2 linked regions of the Nothobranchius furzeri genome follow. The protein of the gene in region 1 purifies or fractionates together with the protein of each later gene. This does not show direct contact. Links are inferred from orthologs where the notes say so. Each region holds a gene or a part of one and is shown in the gene's direction. Other genes may lie near its edges. The genes, in order: bmp2k and AP-1 complex subunit beta-1.

What was found.
Region 2: the proteins of bmp2k (region 1) and AP-1 complex subunit beta-1 purify together in Homo sapiens (affinity purification with mass spectrometry; 3 studies listed by BioGRID and IntAct, with this or other methods). This does not show direct contact. The link is inferred for Nothobranchius furzeri from reciprocal best matches to the Homo sapiens genes BMP2K and AP2B1.

The regions. Positions count from the first base shown.
Region 1 is NC_091750.1:39,757,287-39,769,716, reverse strand, and holds the start of bmp2k (BMP-2-inducible protein kinase), read left to right. Parts: upstream 1-4,968; 5' UTR 4,969-5,188; coding exon 5,189-5,339; intron 5,340-12,430. UniProt on the Homo sapiens protein: May be involved in osteoblast differentiation.
Region 2 is NC_091750.1:66,899,948-66,912,139, forward strand, and holds the end of AP-1 complex subunit beta-1, read left to right. Parts: coding exon 1-153; intron 154-598; coding exon 599-640; intron 641-2,807; coding exon 2,808-2,963; intron 2,964-3,040; coding exon 3,041-3,186; intron 3,187-3,278; coding exon 3,279-3,408; intron 3,409-4,237; coding exon 4,238-4,322; intron 4,323-4,495; coding exon 4,496-4,582; intron 4,583-5,009; coding exon 5,010-5,164; intron 5,165-6,148; coding exon 6,149-6,223; 3' UTR 6,224-6,639; downstream 6,640-12,192. Other genes in the region: hepatic and glial cell adhesion molecule, read left to right, coding at 11,978-12,062. UniProt on the Homo sapiens protein: Component of the adaptor protein complex 2 (AP-2). Adaptor protein complexes function in protein transport via transport vesicles in different membrane traffic pathways.

The DNA.
Region 1 (12,430 bases):
GTGGAGTTTTGAATGTTGAAAATAGTTTCTTGGTGACAGAAGTGCTGAGAAGTTTGTCAGTGGAGAAAGCTTCCCTCGCATCAGTGATGCTGGTAGACAATGAGGACATTAATGCCTGGAATTTCGATAGATCAGCTGGATCTTTCGTTTTGTGCCATTTCCCTTCCGCAGCTCTAAGATTGGTGCATAGAGACTGGAGGGTATCATTTAGCCAAGGGTGTGACTGAGAGGATCTAGCGGGTCTGGTGGCTAAAGGGCACATGTTGTTGAGACACGAACAGAGTGTGGAGCAGAGTGATTCAGTGGCATCATTCACTTCAAAGGCAAAGAATGTGCTGGGGGATGGAAGAGTGGAGGCAACAAGAGATTAAATAAGTAATTTAGTAAGAGATAAACTGTTATTTTTATTTTATTGAATCTATAATTAAACGGGTAAACTAGTAGTAGCACATTCAATGTCAAAGAGAGTAAAATGTTATTATCAGGAGAGGGAGAATGTTTAAGTGGTTAGCAGCAGTGTGCTAGCCGATGGCCCCCTCCATGAGGCCACCACAGCTCAGTAGAACATCATTGTAGCTTCTTATGGGGAGAAAAACACTTAGAGAAAAAATAAAGTTAACAGCTGAAATAGCAGGAAATAGTACAGTTAAAGAGCAGATTGTAGAAGAAAGTAGTCGAGTGTGGAAAGTGGTCAGTGTGTCCTCCAGCAGTCTAAGCTCCGGTTTAAGGTTGGTTTACGCTTGACGTGTCCGCGAGGTCCACACGGCTCCGCGCGGAAAAGTTGCGTCATTTTTGCGTCATTTTAACAACCATGCCCCTCCACCGTGCCTCCGCATGGCCCAAAATTTCCGCAACGCGCACCTAGGAAATTTTCTAACCATGTGGACGGTCGGACGCGGAAAAACATGGCGGACCGGCAAGAACTAGTATGGCAGAGGTTCGTAAATACAGACATTTGTATGATTCAGCTCTCAGAGATCACCGTGATCAACATGTTGTTAATAATTCTTGGAGAGAAATAGCTCGCACTGTCGGAAAAGATGAGGACGCTGTTAAAAACTGCTGAAATGCCATGTTGTAAACAGTAATTTCTACTTCTACTATGGTGTAGTGTTGGATGCATGCCGTAGAGCTCCATGCTGCCCCGTTCAGTTTGGGAGAATATTGGCTCACCGCAGAGACAAGCCGCATGAACCATAATCGCCGCAAGTTGTGAAGCGCGTTCCAGCCGCGAGCCGCATCACCAAGCGGAAAGTGAATGCGTCAAGCATAAACCAAACTTAAGCCTATAGCAGCATAACTCAGGGATGTGGATTCTCCGGTTTTTACCGGATTTATGGAATTTTGTTGCGATTTGGGGCACCCCATGAGATCGATGCAAATATCTAGTGTATATGGGGTGTGGCTCTGTCCGGGGCTCGAAAGTCGCTATTTATTTATTTTTTCTTGTCCTGTCTGGCTGTGAAGCAAACAGAAATTTCACTATTTTTTTTCACCGAGGCCCACGATCATAAACGGAAATCCTGGGGGGACGGCATAAAGTTGTGTCCCAGATCACATTCGATCCAAATCTAAACAATGTGTTAGTAATCATTCAAAGATTATGATCACCCTCTCCTATTCCTCGAATTGGTATGTCCCATTCAAGCTTTTCCAGCCGGGTGGGGCTGTTTGCCGCTGCTCCCAGAGCTGAGCGGGAGCAGGATAGAGTGACACAGCGGTGTGCTGCTGAAGCTCTACGTTTACCACCACACCACCACTCGTTCTAATAGTACTAAACATATTTTTCTGGGCTAAATTTCTGTACTTTCCCAGTAAAATATCCCTGTTAAGGAGCTGCAGCTCCATTCCTCCCGCTGCAGCACGACACCTGACTGGATCTTACAAAACTTCTCCGAGGTGGTGGACTTAAAAAATGCTGAAAAAAAAAAGCTTTTGCTGCATTTTGCCAAAGTAAAAGGAAACGGAGCTAAATTTTGTCTCTAAATATGGAAATACCAGCAATTTAATGAAGCACCTCGTTATTCATGGCATCAGTCTGCAAGCAGAAGCATGACCCGTCTGTGTGATCGGCCATTAAACTTTTAATCAACAATCACACCTTCTGTAGCCTAAATCCTGTTTTAGATAACAACAGTATAATTGATCCTAGTCCAAATAATATTCCTACAAGTTATCATTGAAATTAAAGGTGTCAACATCTGTTTGTTACTAATTTATTTAATTTTATATGAACAATTGCAGAAGTAGGAATTAAGTTTAAGAAATCTTAAATCCTTAAAACCTCATAGGTAGTGGTTTTATCTGTTACTAGGCAGACTGGATATTTTCTCCAGGCATCTACTATGAATCTACTTAACCCTCTGGGGTCCATGGACGAGTATACGCGTCTTTTGAACAGGTCTGATTTGGGATGTAGTTGCAGCAAGACTCCGCCTCCCTGAGTTTAGATTTCTATTCAGCTTTATAAAGGAGATTATAAACTACACCCCAGTTTTTACATTTCTTTAATAGGCAACGTAAAAGCGGAGTTATACTAAACTAAAAAACAACCTATTTTTAGGCAATCTGATAACTTGTCAAAACAGCAGTTTAGTAATCCGTGAGAGGGAATGTGCTTGTGAACATAAAACCCCCCACAAAAATATAAGATCCTTTTGCTGTTGGTGGAAGTCTCACATATTCAATTGATAAAAAGTATCATCATGTAGCTGAGAGAGAGAGGAAGGCCGCACGAGTAATGAGATGTGCGCAAAAGGGAGCCGTTTGGCGGGGAAAGGAATGGCGCGAACGGAGTAACAACAGTTAGACAGATATTGACGGTAAACTTCATACTGTGGAGCGATCCGGACAGATATATTGTCTCTGCAGTTTAGTAAGCTTTTATTAGGCTTATATAAAGGATGATGAGAAGGATAAATGTCCACTAGTCAGTTCAGATAGTACGGCTGTTTTTTTGAACTGGAAGCAGAGGAAGTGGACGGAGACTCACAGCCGGAGTCTGAGGCAAATAGCGAGGATGTTGATGACGATGTGGCAGATCCATCCTTCCTCATAGAAGAGTTGGGTCATGATGAGGTAGAGGATGAAGGCAGAGATCCAGCACCTCGGAGATCCAACAAGAGGAGTGGGCGGCGCAGCGCAGCTGTCAGATCTCGATGTCCGCGGCGTGAGACAGAGCCACTCCCTACTCCAAAATGCATGTACATTATTGCCAAATTAATAAAATAATTATAAATTCAGATAGTCCAGGATACCATAGTTCCATTCTAAATTATAAAAAACATTTGTCATAAATGTTTGTTGGATCACAATAAAATAAACAACTTTTTTCCTATTCGGATTTTATGTTTTTGAGTGATTTAAGGTCTGATATGCAACCCCTTAATGTCCAAATATAAAAAATAAGTATAAATTCATAAAGTCCAGGTTGTGCTGAAAAGACTGATGCCACTTAAGGCAGTGGTTATGGTTTTTATTTTGGAAATACAAAGGAAAACTCTAAATTGGTCAAAAACGGCAAATTACCCCTGGACTCCAGAGGGTTAACATAGCAGCAGATTAATGTTAACGTCTTAGAATGATTTAAGAGAAAAGTGTCCCAAAAGTTTTGGTTTGTGAAACATCTCCATCAAAACCGTGAAAAGCAAAATGAAAGTACCCTGAAGTTAGTTTTAGGTAGTAATTGTGACCAATGTTCATCCTAGTTTCTAGTGTTTCACCAGGTTGTGGCTCTTGATACAGCAGGTCTGATCATCTGTAGATGTTGCTGCTGATCACAGCTGCTCACTAAGTGACAGACTACAGAAAATAAATCAACAACTTTAAATTTAATAACTTAGTTACCCCAGAACTGTTGTATTAGAATACACCCATTATTTCCATTATTAATTGTGTTTTTAATGAAAATTTGTGGATTTTTTGTTTCTTCCACATCTTGTAGAGGAGACCGAGGAGTTTCCCGGCTCTGCAGACACACCAGTATTTGGCGTGTTATTGCCCTGCACTGACTGGTGGAATGCTGCCATGGGGCAAACTGTGACTATCTTAATCTCTGATGATTGTTTGGGTGAAATCCCGTAAACTTAATAGCTCGCGAAAAGGCACACCAACATCATTTATGATCTTTGGTACTTTCTTTCTGTTTTTGGCTTCTAATTCCATTTTTGGTTCTTTTCCTAACCTTTCCTGTGTTTTAAAAAAGAACCAAAAATGGAATCTTTCATGATGTCAGTGGAAGTGTCTAAATATAGACTTTAGCTCTATAAAGGGTTAATGCTATATCTGCTTTCATGCACTGTGCTGTTTTATAGTGGAGCCAAACACTTCCTGCTGAGTGAAACCCAGTGCTCATCTATTATTCTTGATGTTATTTGGCTTCCATACGTTTCCGCTTACTCCAATCACACTAGTATGAGTGGGCGGAGCCACGCCATGTTTGGTTGTCACTCTCATTGGGTAAATAACAAGCTTCCCACTGATTTCTTGCGTTAGAAGAATCAGAAGTTCGACGTTGGCGAAGCTGAAATAAAAAGACGATGAGAGGAGTTAGTGAAATGAAACAGAAGTGACCAGTTAGTTCCGGTAAAGCAGGAGAATCTTACTGGCATCAGCAGTTCCTACTTTTTTCATTTTTACCGTCCGCCTACGATCGGGGCGGCGCATCCGAGGAGGAACTGAGCTTGTTAGCGCAGCGGCTAACGAGCTAACTGTCCGTGAGTGAAGTGAAGCGAACGACCCCGAGGTTACGTTAGTGGACCCAAAGGTCGGATATTTACCCGGGAGGGTGTCGTTTGTACCGGAGAAAGTGTTGGTCGCATCGGCGCCAGTCACACCGTTGCCCGGGTCTTCCTTTTGGAGGAGCGTCCTGACCGCACACCGCCGACTACATGCCTGCTAACGCCTGCAGCCAGCTAACGAGCCCTGCTTTGGCTATTTGAAGCGAGTTGGTGCTGTCAAGAGAAGCGGGGCACCAACCTACGATGACGGATTCATAATACTACTTATACTTAAATGTGGTGTTATTCAACAGCAAGGAGTTCCAATAGAAGAACTGGGCGCGGAGCATGCAGGAGAAGAAAAGACTCCAGATAAGTAGATAGGGCGCGTCGGACACAAGCAGCTTATTACTGGGTGGTGCTTCTGCCAGCGACCAGGCTTGTTGAGAAGGGTCTGGAAAGACGGAAGGATGAAGAAGTTTTCTAGAATGCCAAAGTCCGAAAGTGGTGGACTTGGAGGGGCGTCCGGTGCCAGCTCCAGTTCGGGAGTCAGCAGTTACTACGGGAAGGTGTTCGCGGTCGGTCGGTATCAGGTCACCGTGGAGGAGCTCATAGCAGAAGGTTTGTGCTGCTTTCTGGGTCACACTTGTCTTTTCTGGTCTATGTATCTTAACTAGTGTAAAGCTCCCAGTAAGAGGCCCAGTGTTCCCAACAACTGCGTTTATCCCAGAATGACGTCCCTGTTAAGTGGCTTCCTCCCACAGCTGGTTTACATCCTGCTTCAGCTTCTCCGCTGGCGGCGGTAGGACCAGTCCCGCCCCTACCGGGCCAAAGTGCTGTCAAGACACCGGTCCGACTCGCTCCTGAAAACACACCCATACACACACATTTCTCACACTCGTGTAATTCTCTTTATCTAGTGTTAAATGATATAAAGATAAATAGCCTGTATTTGTATAGCGCCTTTATAGGTTCCTACAACCTCCCAAGGCGCTTCACAACACAATCATTCACCCATTCACACGCTGATGGCGATGAGCTACAATGTAGTCAACTGTCCTAGGGTGCACTGATGGAGGCGAGGCCTGCCGAACACTGGCGCCACTGGTAGCTACACCCTCCACCAGCAGGTTAAGTATCTTGCTCAAGGACACATCAGCATTCTCTCAAATCATGCCAAGAGTCATCTCAAGGCAATTCACTAAGTAAACATCGCAATTGAGTTCAGTTCATTATGCCAGTTAGTCACGTTTTCTATAGAAGGAAACCCAGCAGATTGCATTGAGTCACTGTTGTGTCAGAAACTTTACATCAATCCCCAAACTAGGCAAGCATGCAACAGGAAGAAGCAGTGGTCCCCAACCTTTTTTGCACCAGGGACCGGTTTCGCATCAGGCAATATTTTCACGGACCAGTCTTAAACATGTAGCAGATAAATACAAGAATTTAATATCATATGACCAGCATAAAGACTGTTTTTTTTAAATGCAACAATGAATCCAGTGTGCACTTGTAACCTCATCAGCATGAACACACACTGCCATCTACTTAACGGTTATAAGTTTTAACCAGTTAAGTTTTAACCAACATTGCATTTCCACTCTCCCTAATGGCCTTGGTTTATATGGCAATTTAAAAACATGCTTTCAAGGTAAGATTCACCAAAACAATTATAAAGTGATTGAAAAGTACAACTCACCAAGGCTGCGTCAATGGGAGCCTTGAGCTTGTTTCTGTGTGACGAGACGGTCCCATCTAGGAGTAATGGGAGATAGTGAAACCCGAAGTGTGTTGCTTATGTCCAGTTTATTCCGTAATTTGGTTTTAGTTGCTGTCATTGCAGAAAACCCTGTTTCACACAGGTAGGATGTTGGAAATGGTAACAGGTTTTCAATGCTGTTGTGGCGATTTCAGGGTATTCCGCCATGACTTTAATCCAAAAAACTGGCAGAGCTGTTGTCTCAAACATTCTTTTCAGTCTGCCATCATATGTGACCTCCAGCAATTGATCATCTTCTTGCACAGAGAGGCTTGATTCATCTGGTTTGTTGACAAACGGGTCACAAACCCATTCCTTGGTCATGCGTGGGTCTTTTGTGGTTGGAAAGTAGCGATCAAACTCTTTTAAAAGCACAGACAGGTGATCCTGCATCAGCTGGGAGCATGACTGCTCAGGCTCAGTCTCTTGCAATAGTCCTGATAATGTTGGAAACACATAAAATATCCCCCTGTTCACTCGCCGTCCTCACAGATCCAGTTTTGCTTTAAACACAGCTACTTTATCTGCCAACTTGAAGACGGTTGTCATTTTCCCTTGAAGTGATAGATTTAGTTAATTGAGAGAGCTGAATATGTCGCACAAGTAAGCAAATTTTGCAACCCATTGCTCATCACTGAAATGCACTGCTAGCGGTGACTTTTTTCTGAGAGAAATTTCTGCAGCGGCTCTCGTTATTCAAACACTGGTCAGCGATCTCCCTCGGAATAACCATCTTATTTCTGTGTATAAAAGAAGGTGTCTGTGCTCTGCGTCCATTTCCTCACAAAGCTGCTCGAACAGGTGACGTTACCGGTCTGTGACCCGGGGGTTGGGGACCTCTGCTCCAGAGGATCCAAGATATTACTAAAGACTACATTAAGGCTGTCATTTTCAATGTCCATATGAATGTTAACATCCCCCACTACAATGACCTTACCAGTATTTAGCACCAAATCAGATAAAAAATCTGAGATTTGATCCAAAAACTCAGAGTGGACGATACAAAACTACAAACGAGTGGTTTTACAGTTTTTCAATCTGGATTAGGGCTGCAGCTATCAAATATTTTTGTAATCGAGTACTCTTTCGAATCTTTTATCAATTAATCGAGTACTCTAATAAATTTGTCTTTTTTTGTTTGTAAACCATTATATCAAATAGCATGTTATAAAATATGAAATACCTCTTAAAAGAGCAAGCAATTGCCAGTTATTCTTCCAAGTTTTATTCAAAATTAGTTTTCAAAACTTAAGCACTTCAGCTTTACTTCACAGTAAACAAATGCGAGCGGCTGCGGCCCAAACAGCACCAGAACCGCTCACAGCTCATGCACAAACATGGCTCACCAGCTGTTTCCCTATTGACACACGTTCATTTTAATTTCTACACTTTCTTCTCACAATAACAAGGATTGTCGAAAAAGCATGTTTGCTGTGGTTATGTCAAATTATACTGATCACAAAACATTTATTTCCTTTCTTTTGTTTTCCTCCGTCACTCATAAACACCGGTGTCCTCCTGCAGCAAACCCGAGGGACAACAGACATCAATAACACAGTAAAAGGTCCGACGTGTTGTGTAAAAACTACCATTTTTAGCACATTTTAAGTCCGACGTGTTGCTACCAAATGCACAGTGTGAGCTGAAACTTGAGTGCTACAAATGAAAAAGTTGCACAGTGTCCGCAGAATATATAGAAATACTGGCTAAAATGCATTATCTTGTAGAGGCTCCGAGTCCGCTTGCAGAAGTGACATTTACATGTGGATGTCAGGTGCTGCAGTGTCGAGGATGTGGTGTTGTGGTAGGCTAAATCCATTTTACAGTATTTACACTGGACTACGTTTTCCGCCTTGGTCCCACACCTTTGACATTTTCTGTCTTTTTCGCACTCCACCGGGGTCCACGTTGTCCTCCATGGTTTAAGAGAAGGTTAAGTTACATTTGCAACTCACGTGTGCATTCAGTGCAGTGTGTATGTGCGTCACTTATTTTGGTCCAGGTGAAACATGACCCTGGGCGATTGCAAAGGCATGAAGTAATCAAACATGAATTAATCAAACATGAATGAAACGAAGCCTCCGAGGCAGAGATTTTGACTTGGAGCTTTTTGTACTCGAATTATTCAAGGTACTCGAGGAATCGTTTCAGCCCTAATCTGGATTAAGAAATTTAAGAATAAGATGTTCAAAAGAACTGTAACTATTAATTGGTAAGGGATTGTTTAATAAGTCTGAATGAAAAATGGTTGCTACTCCTCCTCCTCGCCTTGTACTTGGAGCAATATGATGATTTAAATAATTTGAAGTAGTCGACTTATTTAAGCTAACATAGTCCTCTTGCTGCAGCCAGGATTCTGTGAGAGAGATTATAGAAATCTGATTATCACAATTCAAGTCATTAACTAACAACGTCCTAGAAGAAATAGATCTAATGTTCAACAACCCACATTTAATTTTTCTAGTTTTCTGCTCAGTTGAATTTGTTCTAATATTTATGAGATTTCCATGATTTGCTTTATTAAGCCTGATATTAAATCTGTGTGGTCTTGGCCGTGGGCAGGACACTGTCTCAATGGGTTAGTGGGTGGGTAACTGTTCAGAAGCTGCAGCTGGGTGTGTTAAACTACGACTCTGCTTCCTGGTCTGGACCCAGGGTAGTCATGGAGGACTAATAAAACTGGCCATGTTCCTAGAAAGAAGAGCTGCTCAATCCAAAGAGGAATGGATGCCGTCTCCGCATCAGACCAGGTTTTCCCCAAAAAGTTTTCCAATTATCAATGTAGCTCACGTTGTTTTCAGGACACCACCTAGACAACCAGTGGTTGAAGGACAGCATGCGGCTAAACATGTCGTCACAGGTCCGATCAGGCATGGGGCTTGAGAAAATGACTGAGTCCAACATTGTTTTGGCAAACTTACACACCAAAGCAACATTAATATTCGTGACCTGTGATTGGTGTAACCGGGTGTCGTTACAGTCAGCGTGAATAACAATCTTACTGTATTTATGCTTATCCTTAGCCAGCAGTTTAAGGTAAGATTTAATGTTGCCCGCTCTGGCTCCAGTTAAACACATTTAACTATGGTTTGTGGAGTCTCTAATGCTGGAGTCTCTAATACCACTTTTCTGACTATGTAGCTGCCAATGATCACTGTCTGCTTGTCAGTGGGTGCAGAGCTACTTAGCCCCGCGCTAGCTAAGTACCTACAGCTATCTACGGGCTTTTCAACAGCGCATTGCCAGGCCTCCAATTCCGACACCTGCGCCTCCAAAACTACAAAAATGCCACATTTATTACACGTACCATTATCACTAAAGGAGACTGAGGAGTAACTAAACATCTGACACAGAGAGCAAGAGATAGGAGACAGAAGCAGAGACAGAAGTAGCCATAGCCCTGCTGAGGCTAAGCTAACTGGACGAGCAACTCGTTCAACACCAAATAAACTGCGTGCAAACTCAAATGGTTCCCTAAAAGCTAGGTGGAACAACAGAAATGTGTGTTTCAGCTTGCTTGTGTGCTGCAATAACTCAGAGATATCGGAGTACAGAGAAATGTTATTAATTTTAGCGAGCCACAAACTCCGAACGCGCCGGTAATGAAACGAGACCGTGGTCTGCTGCTAAAATATGAAATAAAACAACAAAATTGTGTGGCTGAAATGTCAGACTCTTGTTATAAAAGGCTCAATAGGGAGCCTAAGTCTCAGCCCTTTCCGGTCGGCTCATGGGTCACCGGAAGAACGAAAAAAATGAATTCTAGTCAACGGGGCTGAAAGAGTTATTTTCTAATCCGCCTTGCCTCCCGCCCTTGATCACACATATATTGTATTTATATTTAAATGAAAAGTAATGATGGGTGTTTTGACCACGCCAGTCACATGATTTAAGATTTATCAGCTTGTAAAAGTTTGCTGTTAGCATGACTACAAATCATGTACAACGCATATATGGCGTCACCGAAGGATCTCCTCCCCCTGGCGTAGTAGCCTAAGGCGAGAGGCCCAGACTTCCCTCTCCCCAGCCTATTGGGCCAGCTCCTCCGGGGGAATCCCAAGGCGTTCCCTGGCCAGGTGAGAGACATAGTCCCTCCACCGTGTCCTGGGTCTACTTTTAGGTCTCCTCCCGGTTGGACGTGCCCAGAAAAACCTCACCAGGGAGGCGTCAAGGACACATCCTGACAAGATGCCCGAGCCACCTCAACTGGCTCCTATTGATGTGGAGGAGCAGCGGGTCTACTCCGAACCCCTCCCGGATGACCGAGCTTCTCACCCCATCTCTAAGAGAGTCCAGCCACTCTTCGGAGAAAACTCATTTCGGCCGCTTGTATCCGCAATCTCGTTCTTTCGGTCACACCCAAAGCTCAATTTGCTGGGTTCCTTATATAGGAAACATTATTTCTGAATGGCTTAATGAACTGTGAATTGGAATGTTTATTATGTGAATTGCCTTGAGACGACTCTTGTCGTGATTTGGCGCTATATAAATAAACTTGAATTGAATTGAAAATTGAATTAAGCAGGCAGTATCTCGATCTCACAGTCAATAAAGTTTTTAAAAAAGTATTCCCCTGGGAATTTCCTAGAATTTCACTTGCTGAGGACGTAGCGTGACCAAAGATGTTTGAGGGTGTTTCTGTGTGTGAATGACAGAACAGACACGAGCACCTGGGTACGCACAGGTTTGATTTATCATCAGACGAGTGGAGGAGCGCGCGTACGACCAGGTTTTTGACGAATACAGGCGTACAGGACAGTTTCTAAAAACATTTGATCAACGAGGGCCCAGGCTTTAAAGCAGATATTCATCTTAAGTTAGATTTAATGGAATTACTTCATCTGTCAGCCATCTTTATATCAAATTTACAGCAATCCAGGAGGCACAAATCAGGATTTCAGCTTTAAAAGGTTCTTGACCTGAACTTTAGCTTTTTGTCACAAACTGATTGTGTGACCTTAAGTGTCTGGAAGGGTATATTTTATCTTCATGGCTCCTTTAACAGCAAAACTAAAGTTCTGGAAGCAGCTGCTGAGTCAGCAGAGCTCTAAACTTCTGCAGTCGGACCAGAACCTCTAGCCTCAGAGTGAAACTGTTTCCTGTGCGTGTGCTGGTGAGGTTCGGCTGTGGCAGCTCTGAGGAAACTTGATGCTGTTGTTCATGATGCAGATGTTTAAGCCTCTTCTGCTCATCCAGCTGCTGTTGCAGTTTGATAAAGAGCATGTGATCGTCATGAAGCAACCGTGGGTGATGGTTTTGTTTCTGGGTGACGCGTCTGTGGAGCTGGACGATTCTTGCTGAGGAGGAACTTTGTCATTTCCCTCTGGTTCCTCTTGGCTGTCTGTCTGAAGCTGTAAAGCAGGAAGCATCTGCTTGCTCCACCAGCCTTCCTTCTGAAGTCCAGGAAGGGTCGCTACTGCATAGTAAAGTTCTGTTGGTGTAAAGAAGAGAAAACCCTCCAGTCTCCCCAAACAGCTGTTGGATAATTTAATGACGATATTTGCTGAGTGTTGCTTGGATAACTGCCCGTGCTACAGCAGCCCCCCGATGCGACAGATGCCTGATAACTACCCACTTCCACCTGCAGGGACAAGTCAAATACGAGTCTCTGACTCTATAAAAACAGGAAGACCTGATCGGCCGTTCCGCTTCCTGTGTTTGCAGTTTCACGAGGTTAGGCCTTGTTAGCTACTTTCACCTGCACGTTGACTTGACCTGGTGGGTGGGGGGTGGGGCCTCACAAGTGTGTTCACGAGTCTCTGTTCCGTTACAGACCGGAGACGTGCATCCAGTCCAGAATCAGGGTCTCCCTGACCTGGACCAACGTAAATACAGTTCATGTGCTGTCAGCTGATGCGTTCCTGCCTCGGTCTGGGAACTCGCGTGCTGAGGATGTAGCGTGACCAAAGATGGTTAGTTGAGGGTGTTTCTGTATGTGAACGACTGAGAAAGG
Region 2 (12,192 bases), about 27 Mb from region 1:
ACTGCCATGGATCAGCCACACGTGATCCCCAGTCAGGGAGACTTACTGGGTGACCTGCTGAACCTGGACCTGGGCCCTCCAGTCAATGTTCCCCAAGTGTCCTCCATGCAGATGGGTGCGGTGGATCTTCTGGGTGGAGGCCTGGATAGTCTGGTGAGCTCATGCTGATTTTTACAGTGAATCCAGATAATTAGACATTTGTCTTTTCAAATTCAAATGACACATCAGCAACAGCCTGGTTTTGTTAGAAATACAGTAATGAACACACACTGTCCGCTGGAGGAGGAAACACTAGTAGTAGTTATTACTGCTTAGTCCTTCAGTTTTAAAATAAAAATATCTGGTGTAACACTTCTTATATATGAGTTAATATCTACTGTAGATAATTATAATTTAATAATATTCAGAAATTTCTTCTCACACCAGCTTGTTTCAGGCTGCAATCTAAATGTCTTCCAGAGTATTTTTTATAGATGCATCAGAGATTTAGTATTTTCCCAGAACGCAGTGAGAGGTTCCTTTTGATTGGTCGCTAAGAAAGTCTCTCTCTGTTTTTGTTTGTGTGTTCGGTGTGTCTGCGATGTTTGGGGGGCTGTAGCTGGGAGGAGACCTGGGCGGAGGTGTTGGGGGAAGTCCAGCAGTAAGTGGAGACCTTCTGTTTGACCGTCTGCATGCTGCACGCGTCCTGAATATAGTCATCATCACACTCTTAAGCTGACACCTTCAGCTTTTTGTGGATGACACACTTACATGCATGCTTGTAATGTTTCAGCCCATTTACTGGTAATGAAAATGAATTAACCCATTACAGGAGAATCCATCTAATTAATGTTCTAGTCTAGTTCGTGGACAAAATTTTATTAAAAAAAAAAAAAAAAAAAAGCATATTTGGTTTCAGAAATTCATGTAATTGTTACATAAAACATAAAAAACAGCAACAGGAGCTGAGCGGTTCCTTCCCGACTTTAAGCCTTTTGATTTAGCTGCTTCCATGTGTATGAATAGCTGGGTTATCTTAATCATGTTCTGTTTTGTTTATAATTTTTGTTTTAATCCACAATATATTAATAATTGAACTTTTCTGAAAATCTAATTTAATGAGCTCTAGTGATTTAGCCTCGGGTGCCAATAGTTCTGCAGGAAATGGGCTAAAACACACACACACACACACACACACACCGTTCTTTGTTACCTGCCTGGTTTTTGTTCTAAGTAGCATTAGCTTCTCATAATAACATTCCTCCTTCCTTCTGAGCATTAAAGCAGAAATCTGGAGCTTTTCCTCATAGTGCACCATCTAGAGGCAGAATATATAGAAGAAGTAGAAGAAGAAGAAAATACCATTTCTATAGCGCCTCTCAAGATAAAAATCACGAGGCGCTTCACAAAAACAAAAAATGTAAAAATATAAATAAGCATTTAGAAATTGTTTAAAATATATTAAAATGAGCAAAAATAGGCAATTGTGATTAAAAAAATGTAAAGAAAGAGAGAGAGAGAGAGTGAACAGGAAAGAGGGAAATCAGTGGATCCTGAGGAAGGTGGAATAGGTGGGGAGAGCAGAATAAAGAGAGAGTGGTGAAGAAGGTTATACAAATGCCAGCTTGAACAAGTGAGTCTTCAGCTGCTTTTTAAAGGAGACCACTGAGTCCACTGATCTCAGGCTCAGGGGGAGAGAGTTCCAGAGTCTGGGGGCCACAGCAGCAGATGATCTGTCACCTTTGGTCTTTAGCCTGGTGCTGCACAACCAGTAGACTTTACTATATACTGTTTAACTGTAAGTAGTGCCAACTCTGCATCTGTCTAGGGATATCCTCTCACTCTCGCACGCTCTGTGATTGACATCTGTAGGTAAGTGGATGTCTCACCCCGGCTTTCCACAGGAGCCGTCAGCAGCACGTTACTGCAGCAGCACGTCATAGCTGCTGATAGGAACTGCTGTGGTCAACAGAACCTTTTCCACTGGAGCCGTCGGCAGCGCGAGTCGGCCGCGTCTCAGGAGCAGCATGTCGCGGCCTTTACGCGCCGGTTCTATTTTCTACGCGTGACGCCTCTGAAACGGGTCAAGTTCGACATTTTTGGGGAAGGAAAGACAGGAAATCGGACACGGAAATGGAGAGAATCTACCGAGATTTTCAGAATAAAGAACGTACTGCTTTCCGGTTGCTTTACTTTTAAAAAAGGTTACTAACAGTGCGTCCCCGTGAGAAGTTATCACCTAGCTAGCGGTCTCCTTTGTTTTTCAGGTCAGTATTGGCGATTATAAAACGGACAGAACATAAAACACAAACCATGTTGTAGTTTTCTCCTGCTTGTTGTTGTGTTTACTGACAAAGTCACTCGTGTGACTTCGTGCTCGGTCGGTGACAGCTGCTCCCCTGCTGCTTCGCGTCTCGTGGGAAGGGCCAAGCAGCAGTTTACGCGAGCAAGACGTGCTGCTGCAGTAACGTGCTGCTGACGGCTCCCGTGGAAACCCGGGGTCACGCTATTGGCTAGTGCTAAGCAGTGCTCAATTCAAATTCCATGGGTCTCTATGGGACGGGGGAAGGGCTTACCCAAAAATTGTATTACCTACATTGTATCAGAGTAAGAATATCACTTCTACAGATTTCTAAAAAAAAAAAATCTTACATAATTCCTGAAAGGAGGGAAAACTCCAGATTGCTGCTTTAAGGTTCTGTGTGGGATTTGTTTAATGAGCTTTTAGCAGTTTTTATTAATCAAACTTGCCAGAGGTGCTTCATCCAAAAAATTGCTAATTAAAATGTGTTTATTTTTTGTTTCTGTTCTTGTGTGATTTTTTTTAGGTGGGGCAAAACTTCATCCCTTCATCTGTCCCCAGTACGTTTGCTCCATCTCCCACACCCGCACCTCCAGCTGTCAGCAGCAGCGGCCTCAATGACCTGTTCGAACTCTCCACGGGCATGGCCACCACCACCGGAGGCTACATACCGCAAAAAGCAGTGAGTGAACACAACCTAATCCCAGAGGTGTACGTTTCATTAAATGGTAGAGGTGACTTGTGTGGTGGCTTTTACAGGTGTGGCTTCCTGCAGCTAAAGCAAAGGGACTGGAGATCTCCGGAACCTTCTCTCGTCGTCAGGGACACATGTACATGGACATGTCTTTCACCAACAAGGCTCTGCAGCACATGAATGATTTTGCAATCCAGTTCAACAAGAATAGGTTAATGACAAAAAAATCCTACCTGCTGCTCTGATTTCAGTCAGAAACTCACAGCTGGAGACACACTCATTTGGTTTATTTCTTTCCTGTAGTTTTGGGATGATCCCCACCAGCCCTCTTCCTATTCACACTCCGCTGATGCCCAATCAAAGTATCGACGCCTCTCTTCCTCTGAACACCATCGGACCTGTAATGAAGATGGATCCTCTCAATAATCTACAGGTACAGAACCAAGAGCTAACTGAGCAGTAAGCGTTTTTTTTTTTTTTGTGAGGGCTTCAAAACGTTTTGAGTGTTCTCAGTCTCCTCTTATGAGCCAATGATTGTGTGACTCTGAAAATACTCACAAATTTTGAAGAAGAAACAATCTTTTAGAGAGCCTCAAGATAAAAATCACGAGGTACTTAAAAAAATACAAAAGATTAAAAAAATGAGAAAAGTGAAAGAAAATTTGAGATAAAAAAAAATGTGAGGAAAGGGAAAGAGACGACAAATAACAAGAAAGGTCATCCATGGAAACCAGTAAAGGCAGAATTGGTAAAAAGACCTGAATGAGAAGGTAGTGATGAAGAATTAACAGGTCACACAAATCCAGCCTGAACAGGTTAGTTTTCAGCTGCTTTTTAAAGGAGACCACTGAGTCCACTGATCTCAGGCTCAGAAGGGAGAGAGTTCCAGAGTCTGGGGGCCACAGCAGCAAAAGATCTGTCACCTTTGGTCTTTAGCCTGGTGCTGCACAACCAGTAGGCTTTGATCACTGGACCTCAGGGACCTGCTGGGGGTGTAGGGACTAAGAAGATCCCCAATGTAAGATGGTGCTTGCTGGTGAAATGTGATTTCTCAAAATAATCCGGATCATCACGAGTGTTTGGAACTCTCCTCGGTCAGGAAGTAACAGAAATGTGAGCCAACTTTGATCATATGTTCTATGTCAGCGTTTAGTGAGAGAGTAGCTTTGATTCTTCACTGCTGTCTTTTATTATGGTTTCATTAAAACTGTAAAACAGTCTGGTGCTGTCTAAATACCTGCTTCTGCCCTTTCTGTGAACAGGTGGCAGTGAAGAACAACATTGACGTGTTCTACTTCAGCGTTCTCATCCCTCTCAACATATTCTTCGTTGAGGATGGAAAAATGGGTATGTTAGATAACAGAACATTCAGAAGCAACAATAAATATCAGTCTAGTAGTAAATGTCTTTTTTTATATTACAAGAATCTCATTGCCTAATTGTGAAGATCAGTTATATTCATAGTTTTTGTCATGTTAAAAACCAAATTCCAATAATGTTTATGTTTACGAATTCTGCAGAGCGACAGGTGTTCTTGGCTACCTGGAAGGACATCCCCAATGAGAACGAGCTTCAGTACCAGATAAAAGAATGTCACCTAAACGCAGGTGGGCAACTTCTTCAGAACCTCCACCCGGTCGCTGTCTCTGGTTTTGATGCCTGATTTGTCACATCTTCTACCAGCTCCATCAAAGAGATGACCTCTTCTTGTGTGTTCTCACATGCCTCTTTGGATTCCTCTATTTCTTTTTGCTTGTAACTAACCTTTCTTCACATTCTTTCCCTAAATTTTTCCCTGCAGCTGATCTGTGCAACCCTGAGCCACTGCTGAAAAACTTTACTGAAATCTGAAGGTTCTAATCAGAGTTTATTAAAACCCTGACATAGACGTAGCTGCGTCTTTAGCAGTAGGATTGTTATCATTCATCTACATGTTAGCGTTGGTAGCTGTAGCGATTACTGCCTCCCTGTAACATAGTGTCATACAAAGAGGCGTTTTCCTAACATGGAGTGGTGTTGATTCTGGCCTTGCAGACACAGTATCAGGGAAGCTGCAGAATAACAACATCTACACCATCGCTAAAAGAAACGTAGAAGGCCAGGACATGCTCTACCAGTCCCTGAAGCTAACCAACGGCATCTGGATCTTGGCTGAGCTCCGCATTCAGCCTGGGAATCCCAATTACACGGTGGGTTGTAGAAAAGGTCACGCTGTGTTGAATTCTGGGTATTTTTGTTCGTAATCCACCTGCACTGAGGATGTTGATGCTAACCCAAATGATCATATTGCTAAACTTCTCTCGTCACTTGTAAAACAGATTCTGAAACTCTTAAGAAAACATCTGAAGGCTGGTAGATTTTAAGTGTTCATAGTGTGTATTGAGTAAGTGTGCTTTTTAAATGCTGCAATTAACAATCCCCTTTAAAGAGCTCAAAGTAAATCTTACTAAAAGAAAAACATTAAATTTCTTACAACAGATAAATGTCTACTTGTGTGGTCAGACCCGCTATTCACAAACCTTTTTGAACAGATTCAGAAAACAGCTCAGATATATGATCATTGGAATGTAGTAATAGTTTCCTTTATGATCATTTAAAGGAGAACTTCGGATTATTCTTTTTTTTATGGCACCATCTAGTGGCTGACAAATGAATTGCACTAATTCATGTTTTTACTTCCTTGTTCACGGCCAAAAGCAACGCTTTTCGTTCATAAATGCACTCCTCAAGCTGACCAAACAGCTAGAAAACATTGTTTTGCTATTATTATGCTCATATCATGTTGTGCATTAATATATTTATAGTTTAAAGACTTACTTGTACATGAGAAAGGTAGCCAACTCTGCGTCAGCCAAAGTAGGTCCTCAAACGCACAAGCACGTTCTGTGTCTGTACGCAAGTGGTAGCCCAGGGCTGTTGGTTAATGCTGACTGGAGCTCAGTTCATATTGCTTGGAGCTCTACGGGACGGGGGAGTGGGCTTAGCAAAAACTAACATATTGCCTTTACGGATTTCTAAAAAATCTTACATAATTCCTGAACTAGGAATACTCCATATTGCAGCTTTTGTTTTATAAAATTAGAAACAAACCAATAATTTTTACCAGTAATAAAACCTTTTAAACGTGTGTGGAGGTTTTTTTATAAAACACAGCACCTGTTCTGTTTTTACAGCTGTCCCTTAAGTGTCGGGCCCCTGAGGTGTCTCAGTATGTCTACCAGATGTACGACTCCATACTGAAGAACTGACCTGACCGAGACTCTCCTTCACCCTGGCAACAACCTTCAGTGTTTCTTCATTTTCTCTTATCTGCAGCTGATTGCCACAGCAAAAAAAAAAAATAAATAAATAAAAAATCCAAGCAGATAATAAATGATCAAAAATATTTGATGTACACCCCCCAAGATACTTGTAGGGTAAAAATCAGTCAATACAGTTTGATTGGAAGTGATTTGTAGTTGAAACAGTTTTATCCCTTTTTCTGGCAGTTAAAAACAGTCTCCATCGCTTTGATTACACTCCTTATTTGTGTTTACTTCTCTGTGAAACCTTGCTAACATTCCATTCTTAACTAGGTATCTTAATGTTGTGAGTGATGTCGAAACAGTTTCAGTTAATGAAGCCATTTTCTTTGTTTTGTGATCTGTTTTATTTTAAAAGTTTATTTTTTAAACTGGCTTTACTTCAGCCGAACCTCCACAAAGACGCCAGTGTTCCCTTTTGCCATTATTGTGTGAGGATGTCTGCAAACTGAAGCTACCGCTGTTTTTTTTATTCCCTGTCATGATTTAAACCCACAGCATGTTTAGTAGATTTACCCAAATATGTGCTGCATTTATTTGCCAACAGTACCTTTATTTTCTGTAACGGTATAAGAATAATTCATGAAAACATTCAGACATTTTTAAAAAACAAGTGACGTAAGAGCTGTAAGTAACTCTGGTGAAATTTTAGATTTTGGTGTTTACTTTTTGTGTTTCGTTTGAAACGGAGATGCATGCATAAAAAATAATCACTTCTTCATGCTGGTTGTAGCTGCAGCTTTTTTCATCTTTCATCAAGTGTTATTTAACTCATTATTGCATATAAAAGCACATAAATGCAAATGAAAGACAAATATTAGATTATTCCTAAAGGAAAATCCTAAACATCTGCAGAACCCAGTTAAACAGCTTCTAGTGACCAATATGACTGATTGCCAGCTGTTGTGTTGAAACACCCATTCCACTCCATTTTACTTAAAACCCTGTCTTATCGCCCTGTTTACTGCAACTGTAGTTGTTTTCTCATGGCTTTATTCACTTATCATTCCTATTTATTTGCATCTACCTCCACATGTTGATTGTGTCAGTAGCTTCAGTTATGATTCCTTTATCTTCTAAATGCTGATGTTTTATTTTTTTAATATTCATGCCAGTGTAAACTTTTTGAAATTGGCCAAAATGCAACTCACAGGACCAATAATTCTCTTAGGATCAAACCTGTGTTTTAATAATGTGGTGTCGTTATAACCTGATGTTGGCATTGTGCGGTAGCGCTAACACCTATAGGCCCGAGTTGTGGTGTGGTCCAGTTATGGTGTTTGTGGTGTTGTTAATGAAAAGCTTCTATCACTCTGAAATTTAAATAAAGCTTTGCCTCTATTCCACAAAGTACTCTTGAGTAAGTTCATTCTTTTATAGAAGCACCTAAAAGCTTAATCCTTTTACCATTTCTGGGTTTTACATTTAACATAAAACATTTCATAGTAAACCTATAGATTACTCAGATAATTTGGTAATGCAGCTTTAGGGTCTGGGGTCATGAGTCTCAGCCTGAAGGAAAGGGTGAATAGTTCATGGCCCTGGATGGGTGGAGTCTGCTGTGATTTATTTTGTTTGCAATTTTACATGTAAAAGTAGGTATGTTTATTTGTCACTGTAAAAAAACCCATGATGGATTATTTGTGATATAATTGACCTGGGTCACTTTGCTGCAGGTATCTGACTTTTGAAATACAATCTGGTGGTCAGAGCAGGCTGGAATATCCTTGATCTTGTTCCATAATCACTTGCTTCAGGCACAAACACCAAATAATTTACTATCTGTTGTTCTTCCAGCTCTTGGAGAGTACAGACACTTTTTTCTCCTCTCCCTCCCTTCTTATCCCAAGGCTCTTTGTCCTGTCTTGTGCACGGCGCTTTCTGCATTTTTTCTGGAAACTGGAAATTATTAAAAATGGATCTGGTCATTTGGTCTCTCAACGCGATTGACAACATTTTTTCAACGATGAGAACGGGAGAAAGGGCTCCCGGATGCCCCTCTGGGACAGAGCCAGCTGGGTATATCATGGACTCCTGGAAACAGTGGAACCTGATCTGCCTCTCTCAACTGTCTGTGGAGGATTCTGAAGATGTCTGGATGTTCGTCATTTTGGTGTCGGGATTCCTGCTGTTTGGCCTGAGCGGTTACCTATTCGAGGAATATTGGCTCAATCCCGGAGCTCAGGGATGGAATGCACAAACTCATAAAATTGTCGAGATGAGTCGTAAGCTTGGAACTTTGGCTGAGATTCAGGCTCTGGCACAGAAGGTGGATTCCATCAAGGACAGAGCTGTGGACAGGTCAGCACGGATTGGGATAGATTAATTATGCCATTACTGGATCTAGAGGGGTTGAAGACCAACAGAACTCTTAAGGCAGAGAGGAAATTATCTCTGTCTGTCCCCAAAACAATTCTTATCTGAATCTGGTGCCCTTGGAGCCTGTGAGGCTGAAGTGATAACTCCCCCCTCAGAAGAAATGTAGAATGCTGCCGTCGCTATGGAAACTCTTTCTCCCTATCCCAGCCTGGGCGGGACTGTGACCGGTGAAGGCCGTGGAACCGTATCTAGGAGTCAATGTGCCCTCTAACCCATTATCTCCCTCCCCTGTCCAAACGGCGGTCATGAGTGCTGCTCCATGCGGCTGTACGCACTGAAGTGAGGAGAGTCCCAACTAGTGGTGTGCATCTCTACCTGCCTCACGATTCGATCCGATTCCGATTATCTGCCTAAAGATTCAATTTGAGTCTGAAATCCGATTCTTCACACAAAATTTTTCATTACTTAATAAAAGCAGTTGCTTATGTAATGTGCTGTTATTGTTACGTACGACTCCGTTGCAGTTGACGTCCATGAATCACATGTAACGGCTACGCGGCTAGCTTTACTCATTGATTTCATTACCTGGGCTTTGGTTTCGTTGTACAATGCAGGCACAGCAGTTTCTGTGAAGTGTCTTCTTGTCGGTAGGTTATACAGAGACTCGAGCGTTTTCAGGAGGTAGTGAAACCCAGCATGCTCTACCACAGAATATGGTTGTAGATCCTTAGCAATAAAGCATGCAACAGAATGGGTGATCTTCCCTCCCTCCGAAGCAGACGGTAAAAATGTCAGCGCTTCTTCAATCGTTGGCTGGGATGTGCTCGCTGTTTTTGTGGCTGTTGTTGAAGAAGTCCTCGCAGGGTGGAAACGTTCAAAATGTTTGGTCATATTAGTTGTGTTCCAAAAGTACTTTAGTTTTGTGTGACACACCTTACACACAGTGTGCGTCTTGTCAAGCTTTCTGTCTCGCTCATAAAAGCCAAAATTAGCTCAGACATCCCATTTAAATGTAACGGGTGCATCTTTGATTACTGGTAATGTTCGCCCTGTATCCCTGTCTGCCATTTCTGTTTTAAATTGGCGCTAGGGCAACACAGCGCGCATGTCATTGCAACTCCGCCCCCGGAAGTAGTCGTAAAACCTCAAGACTTTATTGTCCCAGCACGTCCAGAACATCGACATAGACATAGGGAGAAAATCTCATTATGTCACGTTGCTGCATCGATGCAGAATCATGCTCGACCGAATCGTGATGCATCTTAGAATCGATCATTTTTCCCACCTCTAGTCCCAACCCCACCTCCCCACCTAGTGGACACTTATGTTGTGTAATGTCTGAAGTCTGTGCGCATATCTGTCTGAGGAGTTTTTTTTTTTTTTTGCATAGCAAAGCTACCCTCTCTGTTCAGGGTAACTCTGAAGTGCCTTTTTTTCCCTCTCCCGACTCTATCCTCATATAAACCCTTTTGATCTATTACGGTAGGGCGACTCGGGTTGCAAATGACCACAGTCACCAATTCTTGTCATGTGTCTATGTATGTGTGTCTGATCTCAGAATTGTGTGTACTGAAATGCTAATTTCCCCCTGGGATTAATAAAGTATTTTTGAATTGAATTGCATTGAACTAAATAGCATAGGCGTGGTGAAGTCTTCTGGTTTCTCATCCATTCAGGACTGCTGAGATGGCAGGGCCCTGGAGAGGGTTATTAGATTTTTTTTAATGCTATTCAGAAAGTCCAGGGCAGTGTGTTACTTGTACCATTCAATTTGCTTTTCATCTATAAATCAATTAAAATAGACTCACTGCCTCATTGTTTCTATTATGCTGTGTTAAAGTGAGTTGTCATAGTTGAAGCGCTCGCTGATTGTCCCTCCAGGACGGTGCCGGCCAGTACCAACCTGGCTGCAGCCAGCTACGGACTGGATCAATAACCAACACTTACAACAAAATTGTAGGTTTATGCTAAAAGAAGTAATAAACAATAGTTATGAATAAGCAATCCAGGTGATACTTGTCTGATGAAGTTGTCTTTACCCTGCAGAGGTAAGCAGGGTTTGGCAATGTCCTCCAGAGGAGACCGCTGACAGCCAACAATCTTTCTGCCATTGTCACTACTCTTTGGAGACGCTTCTTGTCCGCTGCAGAACAACTCCAGCACCACCCTGAAAGGCCATACATCAAAAAAGGATCAGCTGAATCCCTGTATAACACCAGCAGCCTTTCTTCCATCTTGGTTTTCTTTAAAACCCTCAGGAAGTGGAGTCTCTGATGAGCTCTCTTCACTATGGGTGTGGTGTTCACTGACCATGAGAATTCATCAGTCATCATGACCCCAGTGAACCTAAAGGACCCCACTTTTTCTACTTTTCTGTGCCAGAACGTCAAAGGGTTAATAAATCTTTACAACATTTCAACGGCTGATGCAGGCATTCATAAAGCGGATGAAGAGGAACCTTTAATCTATTTAGACTCCAGGGGAATAAAGACAAAGACTCAGGTTGGAAATCTTGGTGTTATCATTGACTCTGACCTGAACTTCTCTGGACATATTAAGGCTTTAACTAAATCAGCGTTTATCACCTTCATCAAATAGCAAGAGTCAGAGGTCTCATGTCAAGACCAGACTTGGAGAAACTTATTCATGCTTTCATTTCTAGTCGGCTGGACTACCGCAATGGTCTCCTAACTGGTCTTTCCAAAAAAGCTGCAAAGCAACTGCAGCTTGTTCAGAAGGCTGCTGCTAGAGTCTTAACAAGAACTAAGAGAACGGAGCACACCACTCCTGTTCTTAGATCCCTACACTGGTTACCAGTAAACTACAGAATAGATTTCAAAGTGCTCCTACTAGTTTATAAATCACTCAATGGCATGGGACCAAAATACATGCCCGATCTCCGCCTTATGAGACATGAATGAATGTAAAAATGCTTTTTATATGACTCAGATGTTTTTTTTAATCAAAATTTCTCAGTTACCTTGAACTTGTTTTAGGTTTAGAGTGCATGCTCATTTGTATTCTTTACAGAATGTTTCTTCGTAATGATTTCTAATAATTTGGAGAGACCTGCTTCTCACTAAAAGCAAAATGCAGTTGATTTATATAGCTTTATGAATGTTTCCCTGTTTTTGAAGGAATTTTGTAGGAAGTTAAAACCCAATTATCGCATGTTGTTTTAATACGCAACATTTTCCCATTCAGATAGAAGCGTAAATCCAACTGAGCACACATTACGGATATCGAGACCTGTTTCTACTGTTTGAGAACAACATGTCCTTGGTGCCAGAACGGCATGAATGAACGACTGTGTCCTCCGTCCAGCCCAGAGACACAAATCATGCTGACTGTCTGGGACAAAAACAAAGCTTTTAACCCAAGATGCAGCCAGAGACGGACGCTTCTACGAAAGTCAAAACAACTCACAAGTTTTTATTGCTTGCGTGTTTCAGTTTCTTCAATTTCAGTAAGTAACCTTTACCTAAACTGAAAATTCATTCATCATCAAGCGAGGCTAATCTTGATCTGTGCTTTATCATGGTAAATAGAAATTTTCATTAGATTTTGCATTCTGCCTGATGCAAGATGAGAGAATC